Linked DNA regions of Caenorhabditis elegans. The protein of the gene in region 2 interacts with the protein of the main gene of each other region in a pairwise test. Each region holds a gene or a part of one and is shown on either strand. Other genes may lie near its edges.

Region 1 (8,551 bases), on a different chromosome or scaffold from region 2:
AATAAACGCAATCAACAGCATTCTTTGCCGCCTCCTCTCACGTCTCGATTTCCGTTTTTCGTCCCTCCAATTGGTTACAGTTCTCAGCCATCTCGTCTCACTTTTCGCTCGATTAACCGCATCACATTCCATCGCAATTGACTCTATCCATTCGAAACGGTGTCGTATTTTCACTCTCTTAGGGGTCTCTTAGAAATTCTCTGCACAATAGGAGCAGCAAATCGAATTTCTCCAGATACTGATTGAAAATTGAGAGGGAGAGAGAGAGAGAGATGAGGTTGGAGTATTTTGAAAAGAAGAGGTTAAATGAAATAAAGGCGAGCTAGTTGAGAAATGTTTAGAAGTGAAACAATGTATTTCCAATTTGTTTAGAACTTCTTGTGCATTCGGGAAGTAAATGACTTTTTTCTATTCTCAACCATTATGAAATTTTTCCACCATCACAAGTTTCTCCTGACATTTTCTTTCGTTTCTTGTTTTCAGTTATTAGAAAACGTTCCTCATCACCAATGTATGCCTCTCCTAATCTATGCATTAGACTACTGTTTCGTGGAATGATAATCTTAGGCTGCTGCTGGTACCAGCAGTTAACACAGCAGCCCTATGAATCCTTTATGCCACTCCATCGCCTCACGATTCTTACGACATTTGTTCTGCGCAGGCATCTGGTGCGTCTGCTTGCCAGAGGACCACCAGAGTGGCTTACAGGAGCTCAACATGTATATTTATTGCACTGGTAGAGATGTCAACTGTTTACAAGTCTCAAAATGTTTCTGCCCTAACCCTCCCCGGGCCCCCCCCCCCCCCCTCCCTCACTCATTCTGTCACTTTCTCCTGGTGTTTCGAAGAAAGGAAGATGAAATAAATGAGACGATTGCCGAAAACACGCGTAATCATAATTGACTTTTTATTTATTTCTTTTGCGACCACATCAGCAGGTTTGGCATCTGCCGCCGTTATCAAAGGCATGCCCTAAGACATCATCAGTGCGCACGTCGTCGGTGATGGAAAAATGCATGTTTTTCGCGCCGCGTGAAGCAATTCAGTAGATTGTTCCCGATCCAGGCCGTAGGCCTCGAGCCGGGGAAAGTTTCATGTTTCGTTCGTTCTTCAACGGCTCGCGCTCGCACTTTTTCGTTGGCTCTTGGCCTATTTGTTTTCGGGGCGATGAACCAACCGCCTTTAAGACCAGTTTTCTTTTCACTCGAAATATATTTTTGCTACCTCCTTCTTCTTCTACTCCTGCTGGCGCTCATCCGGCAAAAAAACTCAGCTGACTGCTCTTGATGCACCTGAGCTTGTTTATTTTCTCTCTTTAATTTTGAATCATTCAAGATGATGCTAGCTAGTATGTAAATTGTTAAAAGCTCATCAAATAGTGTCAAAAATTTTTTATTTGTTGAAATTTTGTTATTTTGTTTTGAAAAGTAGTTACTACTCAGTTTTTGCCACTTTTTTGGAAGTCATCGATTGAAACATGTTCCTTACAGTTTGATGGTCTCCATCAGTTTTAATTATTAATATTCACACATTGTACGGATTTGAACATGCGACAGTGCTATAGTTTTCTCAAAAAGTTGCAAAAACTCGATGGTATCCCCTTTTTCCCCACTATTTGTAAAGCTTCTTCACCTTTAGTAAAAAATTTGGTTCTGGTATTTGGTATTCAGAGCCCTTCCAGTTTTAGTTCTACCCCCCCCCCCCCCCCCTCTAATCAATCATTTTGTAACAAACAGTTTCATTCAGTCATGTGTCTTCGAAGTTTTGCGGACGGACATAAATAACATAAAAAAGTGAAATTTCCTCTCTGCATGGTTTATACGGTCTCTGTGCTTACTATCGAAGATAAACTGATATGATGAGAAACACCACCACGTCCGGGTTTCAAATCTTCAACACTTTCCCATATTTTCAATGCACATGGCACTTCACATAAGAATCCTTAAAGTTTTTCCATGTAAATGTGACGAACCGCCATATTCAGAGTGCTCTGCGTCGTTCAACAACAGCTTTCCAAGTCCTCCAATTGTTTAATCAGGCGGTGAGGACGAGGGGCGGTAAAGACTCCCATACTCGAAACGCACAGATTTGAAGCAATTGTATTCCCGAAAAACAAGACTAGCCCCCGGGAGGAGGAGAGCATCAGTTTGTTTCTTTTGCCTCCCACTGTTTTCGCTGCCTTTCTCGGATTGTCCAAACATGCGAACGTCTTAGTCCGAGCACATTGAGCGAACGGTATTTTTTTCTTTTTTTGTAGCATCGCAACAAATTGGGCTCTCTTTGCTATTTTTGGGCACAAACAAATGGTTGTTTCATTTTTGAATCGCCGCCAAATTCAAAATCCTCTGTACATTCCTCTCAGCTAAAATTTCACACAGAAAAAGAAAAACAAAAAATTATACTGCAGTTCGTAATTGTTTTCCAAATAACATCTTACAGTATAAGTATTATTCTGTATTTCCCACCACCACATCATGAATGCAATGTGATCAGAGATGGATTATTTCTTCATTCTGTCTCTATTCTTTTCTTCTTGGAGCAACTTCTCCTTGTCGCATCCTTTGATTGAGCCTTCTTTCTTCTTATTCTTCTCCTCCTTCTTCTTTTACTTCATCCCAACATCCACCCACTCGTTGTCAGTTGAGCTCTGTTGTTATTTCGCGTTTTATTTCTCTTCATCGATTTCAATCTTTTTTTTCTGGATCAGCATGACATAAATCGATACTCCAGAGGTGGTGTTATTTGCGCAACGGCTCATTGTGGTGAAATATTATGGCAAAAATTGACCGGGGGGAAGAGTGTTGGAAAGAAAGAGTCAATTTTTGCGACGACAGGCGGGCGGTGGTTGGCTTCTGTTTGGAGAGCAGCAAAACTTTGACAGGCTCACCCACCACCGGAGACAGACCTACGGATTTTGTGCGCGCGCGAGCTTTTCGTCGGCTCGTTCTTATCCATTTCTATTTTATCTCTCTCTCGCGATTTGTCGCCTTTCGTTTAGTTTTCACTATCTCTACCTATGTGGTCTCTGAGGTAAGTAAGGTCTCTGATAACTCATTGATCATGACGAGTGATAGATAATAGCAGTGTAAAGTTTTCAGTTTCATGTTGGCTCTAGCTCATTTCCTATTGATTCACACCTTCGATGTTGTATATGTTTTTTTAAATTATCGTTTATAAACTTCTCATATTTCTATGTATATATATACAAAACTTCAAACAAAAACATTTTGCAGGTCAATTTCACGGTATTTAAGCTAGGCCCTATATAAATCAAGTAAAAAATGTACGGCCAAGTCCAAGATCCACTGGTGCATGCTGCTGCCGCTGCTTTGGCACAATCAACCAACGCCGAACCAGTAGTTGGTGAGTTTCCTGTGATCCCCATCGAATTGTCACATGATGATGGTTTAGAGAGGGAAAAAGATAGGGAAAAATGACAGTGGTATGCAACTTTTGTGTGTAACCTCACATATGGTTCCACTTAAAAGAAGACTTGCGATAGGAATAGAAACTGGAAATATTTCAAATTTTTTAGTTCATCTCCATTCATTTTCAGGTTCCCGTGATACCATGTTCACCAAAATCTTTGTCGGTGGTCTGCCATACCATACAAGTGACAAGACGCTTCACGAGTATTTTGAGCAGTTTGGAGATATTGAAGAGGCTGTAGTCATCACTGATCGTAACACACAAAAAAGCAGAGGATATGGATTTGTAAGTCACTGGAATGTCAAAAATTTCTAGTTTGCGATATTTTTTCACGAGATCTTACGTTGGAGGTCAATTGAAACGAAACGGTTTCTAATCATCAATCACTTTTGACATGATTAACCATTTTTTATCTTGTCCGTCCAGATAAAAGAGGAAACAATTTCGTTTGATTTAACTTCACTAAATTGGAAAATAATTCGGGAACAAGGTGGATGAAGAAATCTTCAAATTTCCGAAATCTCGCGGTTCTGCTTTGACCTCTCAAGCGGCTCTTCATAGGAATCGCACGCGTATTTTGTTAGCAAACATTTCCCAACCATATATATCTCAACAAATAGTTGCAACAGCAAAGATGGAAAGATTACTCTTCGCAAAAAAACATGATCTTTACATATGTTTGTTAATGAAACATAACTTTTCAGGTAACAATGAAGGACCGTGCTTCTGCAGAAAGAGCTTGTAAAGATCCAAATCCAATCATTGATGGAAGGAAGGCTAATGTCAACTTGGCATACCTCGGAGCTAAACCAAGAACAAATGTGCAACTTGCTGGTAAGTTTCGAATTTTTGTGCGGCTCTTGAGCAGCTCTCAGATCATTTTATTCTCCCCGTGTGTTTTGGCTTCTGCTAAACATTATCAATCCTCCACAACCTTCATAACCAAAGGATATTGTTTGTGTCGCGCATCTCTATTCAGTTTTTGTCTGTGTTAACCAAAATCACCAAGTTGGTCATTTTAGCGCTGGCCGCTGGACAAGTTCAACTTCCACTCACCACTCAACTTCAGGCTTTGTTTCAACCAAGAATGGGGTAAGTTTCGGTGATTTGCCTGTGTGTGACATACTTCCAACAATTCCTATCTCATCCAAAAATCACCGCTAATTGAGTTGTGTTGATACAGAAAAAAGAAACAACACGACAACAACAGCAATGACAAAACACTGTAGAACTTTGTGCTCTAGCTCAAAAGTTGCCTAGGATACTTGAGAAGTACTCTTGTGTTCAACCATCTTCACACGTTTAATAATAACTTAAATAATATTAATGATTGTAAACCAAAATATTTTAAGACAAGTGGCCGGTTGAATCGAAATCCGTGGATGCCTAAAACTAAAGGTTAGGCGTGCTTTGACGTGTGCCAATATCATTACTTTCATTTTCCAAACCAAAAGCGGAATACAATAGTGCTGTGTTTTTGACGTGTCCATACTCTCTTTCTCTTCATTTTCACCTATTTCCCAAACCTATATGATTTCGAGTTTTTCTCTTTTCCCTTGGTGAAAACTTGCATAGTCCTGAATGAACTGAGCACCCCAAAGTTGTTTTCTTCATTGGTGGGATTGATGATTATTTCTTTGTAGGTCAATGGGTTTGGCTGCCTAACTAAAACCATCACGCATTTTCTAAACTTTGCTATAGTTTGGTTACGTCTTTTCTGATACTTTTTTTTTTGGAATTTTGAAGTTGTCAATGATTTTACTTTTCATTCTATCCAAATATGTTAGATATTTCTTTTGCACTAACTCAAAAAAACTGAACTGAAAAAATGTGGAGTTTCTTAATATTGTTAAAACAAAAACAAAAATAATTATACTTTCCAGAACCAAAAAAAGTGAATTTTTATCACGCATGTGCGTGTTTTTTGGGTGATATTGTGATAAACACTGTTGCCTCATTTCCAGCATTTGGCATTTACATCCTCCTGTCAATTCCGTGTTCGGTAATTAATCAATACTTTTTTTTAGACTTCCTCAAATGTATTATCCGACTGTCACAGGACTGGTCAATCCGTTGATGGCACAACAAGGAGCCGCTGCTCAGCAACAATTGTTCGATTATAATGCTCTGGCCGCAGTAATGAACCCACAAGCTGCCGCCGCTTATGGTATTCAGTCCCAAGGAAAATGTATGTTCGACGATAGGAAGTTAAAATTAAATAAAAATTTTTTTTTTTCAAATTTAATAAAACATTTTCAGTCGCAGCCGCCCCTACAACAATTGAGCAATACGCCGCCTATCCAGCAGGATACGGCCTAGTTCCCCAATCTGCCTACAATATTGGAAACCCACAGTTGCAACAATTAGCTGCCGCACAACAACAGCTTGAGCATCAACGTGTCTAGAATCCTAATAATATTCTTCAATTTGTCATTCACTCATTCATAAAACCGATTGTCATTGTCGTCCCAGCAATAATTCGCCAACTGATTTTGCCAATAGAGAACATAGGTATTTGCCCGAGTTATACTGATAATTTTACAACTTTGTCCTACCCAAATATCAGATTCTTACGCAAATCAAACAGTTCTATCTAGTCTTCCAATTTCAACTTTATTCCCATATACTTTACAATTTTAGTCACAGTTCTTTTTGATTTTGTCAATTTTTTTCTTATTCATTTCAAATTACAAATCTCTGATGTGGGTTTCTACACGTTCGATGTTTTTTCTTCTCAATTTTTTCCCGAAACGCCAGAGTTGCCTGATTTTAATGTGCCATTTGCACATCCTCATTGAATTTGCAAATTAATTTCATATGGTGAGTTCGTAATAGTCGTACATGTTCCTGCATTTAATGTTTACAATAAACCGATTTCAAAACCTAATCACGTGTGATGCAGAAACTGGAAGTAGTTGTAATGAACGGGGGTTTAAACAGAAGGCAGATGGATACAACAGGAACTAGTTGCAGCATTAGGTCATCTTGGCAAACAGTAAGAAATAATGCAATACTATATTGTAGTTTCGTAGATCGAATTTAAAACAAAAAATACAGTACTAGGCAGAATGATACTTTTAGAATGAATGATAATTTTTTGACGAATTTTTTCCATCCAAAAAAATAGGGAAAAGAACCTGTGAAAGAAGAAAAAACTGGCTCTGAAAATATAATATCCTGACTGATTGAAGTTGTCGATCCTGTAAATTCTAAAACTGATAGTAGTGGTAGTAGATGACATTGAACACTTCCGAATGACATTTCAGGCTGAAAATTAAAAAAAATTGAAATGCCTTGAGAAACCATCTACAAATAGTAAATAGTAGAATAACTAACCGAAATGAGGGTAGAGAATAATTATTTTAAGCTGCTCGAGACATTTTGGCCACCACTGAAAACAAAACGTTATAAAATTAAACTACCGTTCCAAATATCCCATCTCTCAATTTTAAAACCCTTTTTAAAGCACGATAGAATGATTAAATTTTTAAAATATTCTGAAACTTTTTCGAATGAAGTTCAAAGACTAGAAAGTCTAACAATATTTAAAATTGAGTATGGTGAGGGGATTTTGTTTATAAATCTTCGCATTCTTAGATATCTAATTAGAAATTTAAAACAAATGAGGAGATAATAATACAGGGTGGCCTATAATTATGCGGACCGAGTTGCTCTCACAAAAATATGTTTTTTTCTCGCCTGACAAATTTTAAATTTTTGTTTTATTTGTTCATTGATAGCTGACATGTTTTCCTATTAGCTAACTTTAAAAAAATGTGATTTGTTAAACTACGCAATCTAGGCAGAGTCGTCAAACTAGCATCATCTCCCACACTGACGACTCTTTGACACGCATCGATTTTTGAGTGTGGAAATTTCGAAACCGATCTTTTCTACAGTAATGTATACATTTTGGAAGCGAAAAATATATTTTAATAAATGTTGAAGTATATGGAATTGGTTCCATGAAATTCCAGCTCCTGTTGGGTGATTGTTTGACAGTAACTACAGCCGATTTTACAAGGAGTTCAATAGCTAGTGACAGTTTTTGGTATATATCAGCCATAAAATGAGATAAGCACATAATTGTTGCCACAAGGAAAGAAAAATATTAGTAGAATCATATGGCTATTTATCAAAACATTCACTTTTTACATAACTGATGTGCCAAGTGGAACGTCGGCTTTCTGATGTTCTTGATTTGTCTCCCTTCAATCAATGACCACATCAATGTCAGATGAAAACATTTATGAATTTTATTGCAAAACGGATTCTCAGAAAAAAGTCAATCCAAATATGATTGCTAAAGTGATGATATTTGCAATAGAACCTAGAAATGACAACAAAAAGGAGAACACCAATGAGTTGCGTGCCAACGTCAAAATTTTTTAGGAATGTCAGCAGGCCTGTAGAATTTCACAAGCGGAAAATTTGAAAGTTTGACAACAAATTTTGTTCCTTAGAAAATTTGAAATAAAATATGTGTTGTTATCATATTTTTGAATGTTCCAATCAGATTTTATGAGTACGACTTGCGGTCCGCATAGTTATGGGCCACCCTGTATTAACTGAATCTTGTACGATGTTGGTTTGACGGGACCCAAGTGTGGTTGACAGCTCACGGGTGATTTGGAAAGGATCCGTTGCCATGGCTTTCTGCAACGTGTCCAAATCCAATTTATGGGGTCTCAGAGTCTTCGAGAGAAAAGTCGTCCTTCTCGAAGCTTTGGAACCAATTGCGTATGATATTATAGTAGGGGACATGTGAATCATAAACATTCTTGAGGAGACTTTCCGATTCCTTCATCGTGGTATGAGAGAGAAAGAGGTACATCAAACCATATCGGATGTGGATCGCACTAGGGACATACATCGTTGGTTAACTAACTTCAGGCCAGAGGGAAGGGAATGAGGTGTTGCTTACAATGAAGTTCCTACTCTTGTTGTTATTCACTAGCAACGAGGGAATACCAAAGTGCAACTGTGGCGAGCGGTGGAAAAGCAAACCCAGTTATAAAGACTTCCGGACCAACCTAATACTTACACGTGTAAGACACATTTCAGCGTATTCTCGAGACTTTCAGGTTTATCCATGTTAGCAAAAATGTGATAAGTGGAAAAT
Region 2 (8,458 bases):
AATTATCATTTTGAACTTCTCTCGTTTCATTGTAAATAAATGAGTTTCCATAATATAATTGTATTTCTCAGAGGAGATATTTGGAAAAGTTTCACTGGGAGATTTGATTATTTTATAACTATAGGACACTTCAAGCTGAACTTGAAGCTTCTCTTCGAAATATTTAAGTTATGCTCGAGCATGTGGCGGTGCAAAAGTACCCAAATCATAATTTAAGAGCTACCTGAATAATTATTTCTGTCCATACTAGGAGGACCAGACTCACCTGCGCGACTGTACTATTCGATATTATCATACATCCATAATATATCGGATGCATATCTTCTCGTCGTCGTCTCATTTTCTACGAATGGCAGAACAACCTTGGACCGATACAGTCTTCATGTCCTTTTCCACCGTCTTTGGCCCCCCGCGCAACTATGACTCTTTTCTCCTCTAAATTCTACCTGACGGGACGGGACGTCGTCAGATGGAGAATAGATGGAGGCGGAGAGACCGAGACATACATTTAGCCCAACCCGCCCCAGGTTCCCTCATCATCATTCTACTCGACAATCCTCTCCTCGTATTCATCTCTCTGTCTCTCTCTCTTTACCTCTATCGCATTACCTGGTTTTTTTGTATTGACCGGATTATGGATGATCATTTAAAAAATGAACGTTCAGCCTACTTTGTTTTTATTATTTAAAAAAAAATCGGTGTCCAGATGAAGTTGAAATCTCAAATTCCAAATCCCTTTGTTATCGTCATGAACATTCATTCTAGAGTCGGACTGTATTTTCAAAAATTTGATATTTTTAACCTTTTCCTTTAGTTCCGCATTGAGTTTAAATTTACAAAATATTACAGAAATTCTTCAAGTTTATAAGATCACTTTCCGCGACTAGAATAATCCTAATTGCTAAAATTTGTTTTACCAAAAGTTATTCAATAAACAAAACATTTTTTATTTCTCGCTCTCTACAGCTTTTTATTTATTAATCAATACTATGAACCGAAGTATAAAATGTTATGATTACTATTCTCTTTTCCTGAAATTGTTCCTGTAGTTGTTTGCATTTGCCAAACGCGTTCTTTCTTGCAATTGATTTATTGTATTGTATTGTCGTCTCCAGCCATACAAACATGACAAGTCCATACACATTCCCATAGATTCAATTCGCAACAAAAGGGAAGATCGTTGTGGTGGTGGTAGTGGTAATTGTAACGACAGAAGACATTGTCTAATTAGTTCCAGTCAACTGAACCAAAAAAGGACGGTAGCACTTTTTTTGCGGTGATTTGGATTTCTTTTTTTGCATTGGTTTTGATGTTATAAGTGTATGTACAAATAGTTTAGTTCTTAGTTCAACTAGTATTCAATTTGAACATTTTACTAAATTTGAAATTGCCAAGTTTGTATTTTAACCAATTATACTCAAAATTCCCTTTCAAACTTACCAAATTCGACAAATCACTCCAAAAATTAATTTTCTATATCCTTTTTTATCCTCTAGAAATGATACTCAACTTTTCAAAACTCAAAAACGTTTTCCTTGGTCATTATTCCTATATGAAACTCTTTAATGACTAAAACTGAATGACGTACCCACTTAAAATTCAATGAAGCAATTAATTGAATTTCTCCTTCTTTGTGAAAGTATATACAATTAATTTTGTAAACAGAAAACTTTTAGAATTTAAATACCATGTGCAAAAACTTTGAAATTTTCTTATCAGCAATCTCTATCGCAAAAAAATATTCTCACTTTTAAAACAAACATTGATAAGTTTATGCTTTTTGAATACTTTCTATAGTTTTCATCAGCTATAAAGTTCCATTATGCAAAAGGAAAAAAAGCTCAAATTTCGAAAGGCAAAAAACTAGGGAAATGTAATTCCTTACTCCTTCTGCTCCTCTTCTCATTTTCTCTCGCGTCTCTCTCACTCTATTTATGACATTTGCCACCCCTCTCCTGGGTTCTCCGGAGCACGGCGATGCTCCGTGTGCTCTTTTTTTATTTCCTCTCAACTGGCCTAGAATAATTTCTAGGCCATAGGTGAGAGTTTAAAGGTAGTACACGCATAAGCTAAAAACCCATCAATGAAGCAAAAAAGCTTCTAGTTTCTGACTGCCAAATTCTTGTTCCTCTATCTATATACCTCCCTCTCCCAGTTTGTATTTCTCATACGAAGGTCACTTTTAATTTTCTCTTTTTTCCCCATTTTCCCATCACTTTACCCCACCAACAGGTGGCATCTTTTCTCCTTTTTTCACATTTTCTCATTATCATTATCTTGTCAATAAGTTCCCCCATCCATTTTTTTTTTCTTTCAAATAATGCTTTTCTTATCAGTGTCCCATCCCCCAATCATTCCACCCCCAGTACCCTCCTTGTCTAGTTGTTTTTTCCTTCCTATTAAGGGAGTGTTGGTGGTCGTGTCATCTTGTCTTGTATCGAGGGAAAATACTTTTTGTCAGTAGTTATTTGTTTGTGAGTGTGTAATTTTGAAATGAACTGCGAACGGTTTCTCTAGTTCAATATTTTTTGTAATCACGCTATTTAAATTAATAACTATTGGTTTTATGGCAAAGTGATTCAATTTTTAAAATTTTCAGAAAATTTCTTGTACTTTAAGTGGCTTGAAAGCTCAACTGTATGGTTATGCTCTGTTAAAATTAAAATAAAAATGCAAAGAAACTGTAAGATCCTTTGGCCTATTTCGTTATTCCAAAAAGGCTTCATGGTACGGCAATTCAAATTGACAAACCGTTTCCCTTCTTTTGTTTAACTCTTTGTGAAGAGTTTCTATTAATTTTAATTACATTGTTCTTTCCAACTTGTATGCATGCGACAGTAGCCCTATTTTTTCCGAGCAGTTTCATCTCATTATCGTCTGGTAGTAAAGGATATGTTTCACACCCCCTTACTGATTTTCATCAACATATTTTGCTTTCTACTTCTTTGAAAACTAACTAGGCGTTAAAGCAAGGCCCAAAATTATATAGCTGGTAGGATGGTTAAGAGGCGATTGAGAAAAACCCATCACGTCTCAACCTGCTAGAATATCTAGAATTTACCCAAAAGCTCAAAAGCTCAGATCACGATTTTTTACATATTAAAAATTTCTTAAAATATTGTATTTTATAAACCAAATCCACTCTCCTATATATTTTCTAATCCTATAATAAGCTTCCCTTGTAACAGCCTGGTTTAATGATTAATTATGACGAAATACATGTATAAGGAGAATGTCATGTCCCATCTCAATCTCCTTTTGGTTCTCCCGCCAACCCGATTGGCTCCTTGTAGTTGGCTCTCGGCACACGACGTCTTGGTTGCTAGGCACCATTTCTCTACTTTCTCTCTTATTTCCTACCTTCCCTACATCTTCCGCTCAATTTATGTGCCTCCTCCGACACAACATTCGACATCGCCTCTTCGCTCCTCCCATCTTTTTGCCTTTTTTCCATCGTTTTTCATAGTCATCCATCCATCCCATCATCATGACGACGGACGATGATTCTCGTGTATATGACTCCACTTCTTTAGCACCTCCTTCCTTTTTAAATGTATTCCTATTTCTTTGTCGCCCCTTTTCACAAGTTTCCCCACCATTTCCAATCACATTTTGTTGCAGCCATAACGATTGAAAACAGCCGCAAACGGAAGATGGACGGCCCGAAGCCGAACCTGGCGTCGGCCGCTTCGATGGAGTCGTTGAACAGTGTTTCTTCTGAAGCAACGAATCCATCACAGGTCCGCACCTTGTTTGTTTCGGGTCTTCCAATGGATGCTAAGCCGCGTGAGCTTTATCTTCTGTTCCGTGGATGTCGTGGTTATGAGGGAGCTCTTTTGAAAATGACATCGAAGAATGGAAAACCAACGTCTCCAGTCGGATTTGTCACCTTTCTTTCGCAACAAGATGCGCAGGACGCCAGAAAAATGTTGCAAGGTAAATTTGTTTTCTTTACGTGTTGTCGAAAAATGTTCGATATACATACATTTCAGCAGTTTCTGCCATCTTTCTAGCTCAAATCTCCAACTTTCGTGTAACAAAATTAACGTTCAGCAGAGACTTGCGCTAGAATTTGCGCTTTTTTTCGAATTGGCATTGCTCCCATGTTACTAGAATTTGGCAGCTTATATCTCGTTTAACTTTGAGTTAATCAAAAATGCATTGGCATTGTGATTGAGAAGTTGTTGATATTTCAAAAAAACCAATCTAAATAAGATTAGTGAGAATATGACACAAATTCCTCTAATTGTAAGGTGCCTTTTTTGTTTTGAAATATTTATTTGTAAGATTCTAGCTAGATTTTCACCTGTTTCCTTTCCAGGTAGACCTGTTGACAGCTTTCCAACCAAAAGATTTCACACCACAGTAGGCATTTCTTGTCATTTTCTTTTTTGCCAATTAAAAAACCAATCAACATTGTTCCCACACACACACATACGACAACGAAATTCTTCAAATTTTCAGGTGTCCGATTCGATCCGGAATGTGCACAGGTACTTCGACTAGAACTTGCAAAATCGAACACAAAAGTAGCTCGACCTAAACAATCTCCACCACCACCACAACATGCGGCACTATCAGCCGCTGCAGCCGGAGTCCCGCAGTTTTTGGCACCAATGCAACACGATCTTCTACTAGATCCTCAATCAGCAGCTCTTTTCAATGAGCAACAACTATTGGCTCTTTCACTTCCACATTTACATGCTGCACAGGCACTTCAAGCAGCCTATATGCCAGCTTCTGCTCTACAACAATACAGTCAGAATCAATTGTTTGCAGCTGCTCAAATGCACCCAGCAGCCGCTGCAGCAGGTAAGAAATACTAATCACATTTTCTGGAAATTCCAGAAAATAATTTATAATTATTTTATTTCCCACAAGTCTCCCACAAACTAATTCCTTAATACACAATTAGTGATCACGATGGTTAAACTATAGCCACCGCACAATCACTATGTTCCACACATTCACAACTATCAAATCACTGTGTACACGCTATCCACTCACTGAAACTCTCACCATCACACATCACACTATTCTGAACTGTCTCGTAGTCCTTCTGTATCCCATTAGTTTCAAAATAGAGTCTCTCAGCTAACGGGGTTACTGTATGTTTGAGAAAAAAAACTTACTGTCATATGTCGGGATTTTGTTTTAAATATCACCAAATAATTCCAAAATATTTCTTAAAAACTTCTTAGAAAAAAATAGGAAAAGTTCAAGAAAATTCGATATGGAAAATTTAACCGCGTAGAAGGAAATTCGTTTTATAACCATTAAACTCATTTGAGAAATATTAAAGAAAAGTTGTGACGATATTTTTTCCGGAATTCATATCTCTACGGCTTTATTTTTTAAAATAAGCTCTTCCAATTTATGGCTGCCGGTTTACCTCAAAGTTTCTCCAGCTTAACCAAATAGTTTTGTATTCTTTATTTATTTTAGTAATTTGGAGCAATCTAGAACATAATCCTCGCAACTTCAACCCCGTTAGCTGTTTCTCTCTTTTTAAAAATTTCCAGACCTCCTATGACATAGCTATTTAAATTAGAGCCAAGAGAATTTTCAGCCAGCCTCCAACATTCTCAACAAGCATCTCAAGCTTCCACCTCTGCGTGCTCCACTCTTTTCGTCGCCAATCTATCGGCTGAAGTGAATGAAGATACTCTTCGGGGTGTATTCAAAGCATTCTCTGGTTTCACACGTCTACGACTGCACAACAAGAATGGATCATGTGTGGCGTTTGTTGAATATTCGGATCTTCAGAAAGCAACTCAAGCGATGATATCACTACAAGGATTCCAGATAACAGCCAACGATCGAGGTGGTCTTCGTATTGAATATGCTCGGAACAAGATGGCTGATGTGAATGGATAAGAAGAGAAGCAAGAATTCTTTGCAGTTTTGTGTATGTTGTATATCTCTTTTGAACAACCATTTCCTTTTTCTCTCTTTATCTTTTTTAGCACCCAAACTTGTAAAATTCATCCCCCTCACACACTTGCTATGTATCCTTGTGTATGTGACACTTAACACGTACGCGCACACCTAACAGGTATCCTTCTAGATTACTGTAGTTATCATCACACAGAGAAAGGGATTAGCTCAAACACTGTGATAATGAGTTTTTAAAACGAGTAACCCAACTGTGATGCCAAAACAGAAATGTGATAATTCAACGCCTGCATAATTAAATTATAAAATGCTTGACAAAAATAATAATAACTATTAATAATAATAATAATACCCGAAAGCCTTTCAACTGCCCCTCCGACAATCCACTCTCATTTTAAAATCAAACGGGTCAGAGACAAATCCTTACAATTTCAGTTTGGGAAGCGCACCACCATCACCAAATGCACAATCATCACTCAGCAACTACTACTTCTACTTCTTCTTCTTCTTCCTGTGCACAACCACCACCACCTCCACCAACGTACACCCGCTCTCATTACACTTAGTGCATTTTCGTCCTTTTTTCATTTTACTCTCCCAAAAAATCACCAAAAATCCTTTCGGATCTCTTTTTATTCGCATTTTATTTTCCTTTCTCTTAATTTTTACAAAATTCGAAGTGTTTGTAAGCACCCTACAGGAACTTCTATTGTCTTGACCGTAGAGCTCCTTTGCATCATATCTTTTCTATTTCTGATTTACTCTCTGTAAATATATATCACGAGAGCTTATCCACCTGTCTGTCTGTCCGAACCTGAAATTTTCTGTGATTTGTTCTAATTTTTCATAAGATCCTTTTTCCCCTTTTACCACCAATCATCATGCATTCCAGTCTCTCTTCTGTTGTAATTTGAAAAAGCTTTTGTAATAAATTTATACACTTTATTGGTTGGTTTCGTTGTGAATTGTTGTGATTTCAATAAGCCGTAAGCAAGTGAGAAAAAAGCGAGTTGGTGAATGGAATGAAGTAGGAAGTTTTGGAATTTGGAAAGCTCGGGAAATATGTTACAGATTTCAAAGAAAATATGCAATAATGGCAAAATGTGATAAAACAAAGACTTGATTGAGAGATTACAACAATCATAGGAATCATGGGATGACAAAAGCACCTATATGAATGAATAATTATTATGATGTGGATGTTGTAGTAGATCTTGATGTATTTGGAGCATCTGACTGAGATGTTGATGTCTCTATTTCCTGTAGCGTCTTCTGCAAAAATTCGATCCGTTTGTCCTTCCAGTCGACCTCGAACCGAAGGCTGTCAATGTCACGCTGTAAAAATCAACTTTTAAAAACTGGCGGTGCGAGTCGGCGCGCAAGAAGGAAGTGTCCAAGTATGTATATATGCAAATAATCCTCGATCCCCCTCCACCACCACACACTCCGGAAATGCATTGAGAGTGTTGAGAAGGTCTTATTTGTGTGCATGACTTTGGATGGAGAATCGAGGAGAAGGTGGCAGCAGTCAAGGGATGTTGAGGTCTTTTTCGTTTCAATGAACCATACCATAATCGGACAGGAAGTTTCGTGTCAACGATATTTCAAGAAAAAAGGAAACTACTAGTGTGATGATTCCGGGGATTTTTTTTTTGAGGAACTAATGCATTCATTTTTTTTTCAAAATTTTCTTTCTAAAATGGTTCGGTAATTAGGAAATTAGGTAGACGGAACTTTTGGGATTGAACAAAAACTATCAAATGATTAAATTTTTTAAGCCACTGAAATGTATATTACTATGTTCCACATTCTACATAGATGCCACTTCAAAATACTTGGTTACTGTAGCTCAAACTTGACATGTCTGTGTTATTAACCTAGTTGGCGCCGTCCTTCGAAGACATGAACATGAAAGTTGTGTAATAAACCAAAAATTATCCACTCTTTTTCTCTCTTTCCTTTCCTTCTTGATTTACAATAAAAACTACTACGCTCTCTCGACATATTTGTGAATTGTTGAGCATAAAGGAATCGAAAATCGCCGAGTATTGTCCGTGTATTCAATTGACACGGGTGGAACAGAGAAGGAGTCTGAGTGAGTGATTGAAAGAGAAGAAAGATCATTAGGTACCAAGTACCTTGTGCTCATACGATTGACATTGTTGGCTCATCCACTTCACGCAATACTAGAAAGAGACGGAGAACACGGGTTACACACGGACATTCCCCAATTTTGACAATCATACAGATTTTGTAGAAAGAAATTTCGAAATCAGGGGTTTGATTTGAAATAGAAGAATAGTAGTGAAACTTCCAACACGACCATGTGTCGATTTACGCAGCTTGTGTACTACTCGAGGAGAAGTGTGAGAAGTACACGAGCTGCGTAAATCGACACAGAGCCGGGTTGGAGCTTTCACGGTCATTCTTTTTTTCATGGGGTCTTAAAGCCCATAATATTACCCAGACGAGAAATTTTGCGCTAAAGATACGGTATCGAATCGACAAATTTTTTTTCAAATGCATAAAGGTGTACACCTTTAAAGGGTACTGTAACTTCAAG

Evidence for each region.
Region 1: the proteins of mec-8 (region 2) and sup-12 interact in a two-hybrid assay, tested with the Caenorhabditis elegans proteins (one large-scale study listed by BioGRID).

What each region holds. Positions count from the first base shown.
Region 1 is NC_003284.9:3,901,358-3,909,908, forward strand, and holds sup-12 (RRM domain-containing protein), read left to right. Parts: upstream 1-3,233; 5' UTR 3,234-3,281; coding exon 3,282-3,363; intron 3,364-3,556; coding exon 3,557-3,714; intron 3,715-4,133; coding exon 4,134-4,263; intron 4,264-4,451; coding exon 4,452-4,521; intron 4,522-4,781; coding exon of another isoform or gene 4,782-4,797; exon of another isoform or gene 4,798-4,827; intron 4,828-5,456; coding exon 5,457-5,617; intron 5,618-5,688; coding exon 5,689-5,834; 3' UTR 5,835-6,314; downstream 6,315-8,551. Other genes in the region: T22B2.5 (Neur_chan_memb domain-containing protein), read right to left, coding at 6,787-6,820, 8,474-8,551.
Region 2 is NC_003279.8:9,439,391-9,447,848, reverse strand, and holds mec-8 (RRM domain-containing protein), read left to right. Parts: upstream 1-3,621; 5' UTR 3,622-3,653; coding exon 3,654-3,936; intron 3,937-4,464; coding exon 4,465-4,812; intron 4,813-5,050; exon of another isoform or gene 5,051-5,165; intron 5,166-5,569; coding exon 5,570-5,877; 3' UTR 5,878-5,908; intron 5,909-6,330; 3' UTR 6,331-6,839; downstream 6,840-8,458. Other genes in the region: C17E4.10 (PRKC apoptosis WT1 regulator protein), read right to left, coding at 7,084-7,230.